Canis lupus familiaris: one gene and its partner. The protein of the gene in region 1 purifies or fractionates together with the protein of each later gene. This does not show direct contact. Links are inferred from orthologs where the notes say so. Each region holds a gene or a part of one and is shown on either strand. Other genes may lie near its edges.

Region 1 (4,169 bases):
CCTAAATAATTTAAACACAACTTCACTTTTGAGAATTAGAACGTCAGATTTTACCGTGTTAGGTTATGAATATTAAAGATAAAATTTTAAAACCCAACTTTTTTTTTTAAAGATTTTATTTATTTATTCATGAGAGACAGAGAGAAAGAGAGAGAGAGAGAGAGAGAGAGAGAGAAAGGCAGAGACACAGGTAGAGGGAAAAGCAGGATCCATGCAGGGAGCCTGATGTGGGTGGGACTCAATCCCAGGACCCCAGGACCACGCCCTGAGCCAAAGGCAGATGCTCAACCGCTGAGCCACCCAGGCGTTCCAAAACACAACTTTTAACAATGTACTGACTCAAAATAGTTCTTACTTCAAGTTCCTTTATCTTAAATCATAAAAAAAAAAAAAGACAAAAGGATGTTTTAATTTCCTGAAGGTGTTCAAGAGATTCCTCATTCTTATGAAAGGCACTCAGGTCAGGACATTGTCCTGCTCAACTGCACTCCTATGAGGCACCTGGTGAAATGCAGAAGAACCATGGCTGTGGGGGTGACGGGGAGCCATGTGAGGAGTACAAGCTATGCTTGGGATGACAGGAAAGTCTGGTGGTGATGACTGAGGAACAATGTGAATGCAGAGAAGTACATACAGAAGGAGAAATTTAAAAATGGTTAAAACGGTAAATTTTGTTAGGTATTTTTTACCACAATTTAAAAAATTACCTAGTCTAACCCCCTCACTATACAAAGGAGGACAGAGTTTCAAATGGGTCACACGACATGTCCAAGTTCACAAAGCTTCTCAAAAATGAATTTCTAATTCTACTTCCACAAACAATACTGCCTCTCAATTCTTTGTGGGGTACAGTGGAAAACAGGACCTACTGCTAGAGACACAGTGACTAAGAAAAGATGAGTGACAATCACAAGATTAACTGTACAGAAAAAATAACATAATTATAATCAGACTTAATCAGCTTTCATTATATGCATTTTTGTATTTGCCTTTTCCTAGATCATTTTATGTCGCTTTTTCTCCTCTTCCCTTTTTTCCAATGTACTTTTTTCTTTTTAAGATTTATTTATTTATTCATGCGAGACAGACAGAGAGAGAGAGAGAGACAGAGAGAGAGAGGCAGAGACACAGGCAGAGGGAAGAGCAGGCTCAATGCAGGGAGCCTGACCTGAGACCCGATCCCGGTCTGCAAGATCACACCCTGGGCTGAAGGGGGCACTAAACCGCCGAGCTACCCGGGCTGCTCTTTCATGTTATTTTACACACCTTTGTAATCCTTACAATTTCTTTAAGGCAAAAGGGGAACCCTACAGATAAAACATATGGCCATAATTGTAAATGAATATCAATAAATTAAATTAGGGGCACCTGGGTGGCTCAGTCAGTTAAGTATCTGACTGTGATCAGGTCACGATCTCGGGGTCCTGAGATCCAGCTCCACATCAAGTCTGCTTGTCCCCGCCCCATCTAGTGCTCTCTCTCTCAAATAAATAAATCTTAAAAATAAATAAATTAAATTATATCCTGAATACACAGCTTACAAAAGAAAAGAGAATACTAAAACATTTTTATCAAAATAAAAATTCAGTGTATTTTTTTCAGTTTTTATCTTAAAGAATAACCTCCACACCCAATGTGGGGTTCAAACTCACAACCCCGAGAGCAAGAGTCACAATCTCCTCCGACTGAGCCAGCCAGATGCCCCAGATTTGGTGTTTTAAAAGACCAAGTCCCCACAGGCATAAAAGCATCTTTGCTACACAGAGATGTAAACATGAACCCTGCAAGCAGACCTACTTTTGGAAAGCAGTTTTGTGTGGAAATACCTTTCAAAGCAATTACCTGGGAAACCACTTGGCGTGCTCCACCCATGGGTCATCTCCAGACTCCCAACACCGCAGTCCACCGTCACAGCAAAAGCATTTGACATCATCATTGCGACCTAAAGAAAACAAGACTGAACTGAAATACATGTTCTGATATGTTCAACAAAGCGAACCTGATAAATCATACACTACACCTTAGTTTCTTACCCACGTAATAGAATCCAGCACTTGCGAGCTGCTCAGGCCGCACGGGGACACTAGATGGCCAGTACACGAAAGTTCTCAACCGGGCCGCATGGGTCTGCATGCTCAAATTTGAAATGCTAAATCTCAGGGTCTCCAGAGAATTTTCCAAAAACGGGCAGTTGGGGAAATGTCTCCGGTGTTCGGACATCGCGTCATCCTTTGGTTCCCAGTTACTCAGGGTCCCACCGCAGGCAAAGCAGGCCACCTTATCTCCAGGTCCTATATAATAAAAGCCTGCCCTTGCCAAGTCTGACGGGGACAGAAAGGTTAGCGGCCACATGTGATAAGTAAGAAATCTGGCTTCCTCGGTGCTCATGGCGTAACTGTAGGGGTTAGTGCTCAGTGGGGAGAAGTCTTCACCTGCTCTGGAACTCACAGGGTTTGCTGCGAGGTTGGAATGAGAACCACTAAATGAGCCATGTTCCAAAGTGGGAGATATCGAATGTGTAAAACTGTTTCTCATTGCAGAAATGTTCTTAGAGGTGGAATCCCGGCTGGTGAGAGAAACCAGACTGTGAATAAAACTACAGCTTGGATAGAGCTGTTTATGCTTTTCAACAGGATTGTCTCCAGGCTTCCAGTTGTCCAGCATCAGGCCACAGCAGAAGCATTTGACCTTGTCATTCACACCCGTGTAATAGAAGCCTGCGCGGGCCAGGCTCCTCTCTGAGACGGGAACACCCGCCGGGAATGTGGAGTATGTAGACATTCTATAGAGTTCACACGAAAAGTCATATTTTATTTTTTGTTTGTTGCCAATTGTCTGGTTTCGTAAGATGGTGCTATCCTCCATTGTCCTCTTAATCCTCTGATATGAACCTGGGACAAGTCTTTGGGAAGTAGTTTTGTGCATGAGTGATGTTACTTTTTGATGGCTAAAAACCTTCACATGAAACTTCTATCTTCACAAAAAATTAGTTTTTATCATATAAAAGAATCAAATGACAGGCTCCTACTTCTGTAAAACTCACTACACCTTCTTTATGGGATTTATGCCAGAGTTTACACTGAGGTGAGATAATACCTGGAATCCAGGATATTAAATTACCAGGATACTACTTAGCACTATTTCAGATTAACTCTTATGTAACAAGTGCTAACTGCTCATTATTTGGTGTAATATCAACATAAAGACCTGAGAAGATATTGGCACACTTACGGAAATATGTTAAAACTGCCTGATTCTTCAGAAGGTTGATGTTCCCAAAATTCTAAATAAGGTACCTAAATTATACCGTTAATATGTTTTTAGTTACAAGTTCCAAAACCTGTTTATTAAGCCAATCACAATTATGCTTCGAGTGGGAAAAAGTATACACAGGTCTCTTCCAAGCACCTCAATATATTTTTAAAACTCTTGGCTTTATTCCAGCAAACAAGAATTAAACTCTTCATATGGTCACAATATCTAAAGGCTAATTTCACATAGGTTATCACCACAGTATTTATGTGAGGGTATCAACACTCACCAGCTTTCCAGACCTAACCTTGCCTGTTTTAGCATGTATGATGTCATATGAATTTTGCTTAAAGCTAACTGCTAACTCTTCCACCTTTGTCTGTACTTGTTTCCATTTCCTACAGCATGACGATTTGTTTCTTCCTCACTCTGCATATCAACTACACTTGGTCAACTGAAGGTATTTTCTCCATCAACTACTTAACCATAAAATTTCCACAACAGGAACTTTAACACTGCATTTAAAAATCAAACAACCTATCTTTCACTTAAAAAATCATGTTTCTATAACATCATTCATTTTGTAAAGATTAATCAACTTATCAAGACACAGCTTACTCTTTCTGGTGTTATCTAGTGTTATCACACACGTATAACAATATATTATAAACCTGTCTCTACACAATGGACCAGTAATTAATCCTACTAGCGCCTTCCTTATGAAAACCCTTGATCCTTTATAATTCATACACAAAATTACACTCCATAAAATTCAAGCTATATCCCTTTAGAAAGCTTCTGGTTCTCCATAACGGGGTTTATTTCTGCCGAGGAAAGAAATCAGAGGGGAAAAAGTGGACTCTTCAAAGTGGACCCTCTGTTAATCTGAAAAGAGAAAAACAAAAGCTGTTTTAGAA
Region 2 (4,156 bases), on another chromosome or scaffold:
GAAAGACAGACAGAAAGAGAAAGGAGGGGATAGACAGCCCGGTTCAAGGGCACATGCATACGTCACCCATCCCCACCTCACAATGCAGTCTCTTCCTCACCGATGTGCAGGGGAGTCCAGGATGACCTTATGGATGAGTACACCATGCTGAACATCAGGAAAGCTTGGTTCTCGAAGCTGTAGTTCAGCAAGGATGCTAAAAGGACACAGATCACTCTGTTAACAGCACCAAGGCACTCTCCCCATCTTGGGTTCACCTCAAATCTCTCATCAACACACCGACAACTGCATGGACAAGGGCATGCACTAGATACTCCGGATACAAAGGCAATTCACTTTCTGCCTTTTCAAAGTTAGGAAGTGGGACATGTGTATAAAAGGTAACTCATTCCAAGTGATACATCATATTAAATCAATAGCACTAATGTCATTCTAGAATTCTAAGAGAAACTTTGAGAGAGTAGAACATAAGCTGAGCATAAAATGGTTCTGGTATTTAACTATATAAAACAAGAGCAATATAAATAAAACCATAGGAGTAGGAAATCCAGGTCAGCTGGAACAGAATATATTCTTGTAAGAAGCCAGATCTAAAAGGTTAAATTGGAGACAAATGGAAAATGGCCTCTAAGCACCGGGCTAATGGATTGAAGTTTTTAAACCAAAGCAGTAACAGGATGAAATCAATCTGGTAGCAGGTGTACAAGAGGGATTGGAGTGAGAAAGTCAAGATCATGAGAATAGCTCTTCTGATAGCTCCTAGTGTGGGGCAACTTATCTTAGATAAAGATAAAACTGAGAACAAAGCCCAACAGAAGTGCCACTTGCCCACCACTGAATATACTGGTGGTCCTACAGGTCACTACCCCCAAAGCTCGTACCTGGGAGTCAGGGTCAGCATCATCACTCCAATGTAGCGGCGCTGGGACCCACTGATTCCAAACCAGGAATCTGTGATAGAGGGACAAATGAGCCCCACCCAGTTACATCCTTCCTTCCCCTCCCTTTCCTCCCAGTAGACAACCCCTCTCCAGTAAAGCACAATGAATGCCCTTCCCACCACTCAAAGTAATTTCTTCCCCCCTAAGCCAGGCTCACTCTTCTTTTCCCCACGATGCAGAAACTCTCGAAGGCGATCAGAAGGGATGGCAAAGGAGATTCCAGCTGTGACCTTCATGGTATTCACTCCAATCACCTCCCCATCCTGCAGGAACAGAGCCCACTAATCCCTAGCCCAGAAACATAGTAGGAGGAGGGGATACCTGAACAAGAGTAGCAGGGAGAATGAGGGAGCAGGCTGGGGAGACCTGGTTGGATTTTGGGAGATAGCCAACAGGAGGCTGCTTAGAAACTTGACCAAACATCGTTGAATTAGAGGAAGCACACCCATTCTCACACTGACCTGGGGCAGGGATTCTTGGAAAGAAGGATGTCCCACTCACCAGGTTAACCAGTGGACCTCCAGAGTTTCCAAACTGCAGGACAAGGAGAAAATATGGAAGAGATCCAGGAACTCTATGCCTGGAGGCATGACCAGGATGTAGGCACTTTTTCCAAATTCTCTCCTTTCCCAGCCCAACCTGAGTGGCCACATATTTGCAGCCCAACCTCTGTATACAGGCTCATCCGCCATCTATCAACAGTTGGTGCCTGTACCACACAGCCTTTCCCCCAACCCCCAACCTAGTTTGTCATTTCTCTTATATCAGAACGCACATCAATAGCTGCATCAGTCTGGATGTATTCCACATTGGTTTGGGGGAGGCCCAGGTCTCTGGCTGGACGCTGAGCAGAGCTGACAATGCCAGAAGTGATCGTGTTCTGCAGTGCAAAGGGACTTCCCATGGCAACAACAAACTCCCCTTGCCGGACATCAGCTGAGCGTCCCAGGGGTAGTGTGGGGAGAGGCTCCTGAGAGAGAATGGGTATAAGAGACCTGTCATCTGAAGATGTGAGCAAATTCACAGCCCCAACCAGACCCAGCCTGCTCAGCCCCCACCTTAGTCTGAATCCTTAGCGTCGCAATGTCTGCCACAGGATCCACAGCTGTGACCACGGCCTCATATGTGTCGCCGCTGAGCAGCCTCACACGGACCCGGCGCCGATCTGCCACCACATGAGCGTTGGTTACGATGAGCCCGTCGGCAGCCACCACGAATCCTGAGCCATTCGAGATAGGGACTTCGCGGCCGGAGAAAGGGTGCCTGGAGGGGTGGGGGTGAGAAGCAAGGATGCAGGGAGGCTCACACCCCGGCTCCTCCGCCCTCTAGCCCGCGGCTTGGTGCCTCCTGCCTTCCCCACCGTTACCGGCCCAAGATCTCGATATAAACCACGGCAGGTGCTGTCTTCTCCACCACGTCTGCGATGAAGTTGTACTGGCTCCGGGGAGAGCTGGGCGGCGAGCCAAGGACCGAGGCGAGGACCGCTGGGGGACCCCGACCCCCGCCCCACAGTAACAACAGCACTGCCCCCCCAGCGCCCAGCGCCACCGCCAGCCATATACGCGGACGGGTTCCAGGGGTCCCTGAGCCCTCCTGGGTCCTGGGATCTGGGGTCCCTACAGCCAGCCATGCTCGGGAATCCGAAGTCCTCGACGTCAGACACGTCCGTGGTTCAGGGACCCCCACAGACCACCGGGCCCGGAGGCTGGGGGTCCCATAAGTCACTCGGGCCCGGGGGTCAGGAATTCCTGACGTCAGCAAGGCCCGGAGGTCAGGGGTCAGCAGGGGTCCCTTCCCCGAGTGAACCCCCCCCAAAGCCCGCCATCCCCGGAGGTTCCAGGCTGCACCCCGCCCCGCCCTCAGTGCAGCCATCAGCTCCGCCTCGACTGCCTCCTCGCCCGCCCTACACAGAGGCGGCGCCCTGGACGCGAGGTGGCGGACGGAGGGACGCGGGGCACGCCGGGACCTGAAGTCCTCCAGAAGTGCACGCCGGGACCCAGGATTCCGGGAGGCCGACTCCGCCCCCGCCCCAGGAATGCCGGGAATTGTGGTCCCCGCGGGACGCGAGTTCCTAGGTGGCCCAAGGGCCGCGAGGCATGCTGGGACCGCTAGCCCTTCCGGGGCGCCTCAAGATTTCGGGTGCCCGCACCCTGGGCGGATGCCCGAAGACTCCGCCTTCCCAGGAGCCCCTGCGGCCGGGCGCGAAGATGGCGGCGGCGGCCGGAGAGCTCTAAAGCCCCCGCGATGGATCCTTCCCCGGCGCTGGGGCCGGAGCGGCTCTTCGACTCTCACCGGTAAGAGCCCTGGCGGGAAGAGGCCGGCTCCCGCGTGCACTCGGCCTCCGGCGCCCGATCACCCCGCCTTTCGCCCCCAGGCTCCCGGGTGACGGCTTCCTGCTCCTCGCGCTGCTGCTCTATGCTCCCGTCGGGTTCTGCCTCCTTGTCCTGCGCCTCTTTCTTGGGATCCACGTCTTCCTGGTCAGCTGCGCTCTACCGGACAGTGTCCTTCGCAGGTAACGGCCTGGGGGTCCCGGGGAGGGCTGGGCTGGGCCCGGCCGGAGGCCGTGGAGTCACCACTGCCCGCGTCCCCAGGTTCGTGGTGCGGACCATGTGTGCGGTGCTGGGGCTCGTGGCCCGGCAGGAGAACTCCGGACTCCGGGATCACCGCGTCAGGGTCCTCATTTCCAACCACGTGACACCTTTCGACCATAACATAGTCAACTTGCTCACCAGCTGTAGCACCGTGAGTGGGGGGCAAAGCCGAGAGCTCTACGGGGCGGTTCCCTGGGGCCCAGCTGGAGGCTCCCCTTAGCCCGCCCGGGTTTCCCTTGGGGACCACTGGGAAATACTGAGGCTTACCCCCAATCCCGCTTCTGTACCCTAGATGTCAGTTTTTCTCACTTCCCAATATTCTTTTCTTGCTTTCTCTCTTCTCTATTCCCAGCCTCTACTCAATAGTCCCCCAAGTTTTGTGTGCTGGTCTCGGGGCTTCATGGAGATGGATGGGCGGGGGGAGTTGGTGGAGTCACTCAAGAGATTCTGTGCTTCCACGAGGCTTCCCCCCACCCCTCTGCTGCTATTCCCTGAGGAAGAGGCCACCAATGGCCGGGAGGGGCTCCTGCGCTTCAGGTGGGTGAGCACAGGTATCGGTCTCCAGCTGGGTAGGTGGTCAGGCTTGGGGGCCCTTGATTTTTCACAATTTTCAGCCCTACCTTC

Evidence for each region. Proteins that work in one complex are often made in the same cells at the same time.
Region 2: the proteins of BIRC2 (region 1) and HTRA2 purify together in Homo sapiens (affinity purification with mass spectrometry; 4 studies listed by BioGRID and IntAct, counting the BioPlex papers as one, with this or other methods). This does not show direct contact. The link is inferred for Canis lupus familiaris from reciprocal best matches to the Homo sapiens genes BIRC2 and HTRA2.

The regions. Positions count from the first base shown.
Region 1 is NC_049226.1:29,451,204-29,455,372, forward strand, and holds the start of BIRC2 (baculoviral IAP repeat-containing protein 2), read right to left. Parts: upstream 2,874-4,169; 5' UTR 2,866-2,873; coding exon 2,034-2,865; intron 1,943-2,033; coding exon 1,843-1,942; intron 1-1,842. Other genes in the region: proline-rich protein 2-like, read left to right, coding at 3,658-3,712. UniProt on the Homo sapiens protein: Multi-functional protein which regulates not only caspases and apoptosis, but also modulates inflammatory signaling and immunity, mitogenic kinase signaling, and cell proliferation, as well as cell invasion and metastasis.
Region 2 is NC_049238.1:49,111,607-49,115,762, forward strand, and holds the start of HTRA2 (serine protease HTRA2, mitochondrial), read right to left. Parts: upstream 2,817-4,156; 5' UTR 2,814-2,816; coding exon 2,308-2,813; intron 2,205-2,307; coding exon 2,000-2,204; intron 1,912-1,999; coding exon 1,717-1,911; intron 1,476-1,716; coding exon 1,443-1,475; intron 1,205-1,442; coding exon 1,099-1,204; intron 952-1,098; coding exon 882-951; intron 197-881; coding exon 101-196; intron 1-100.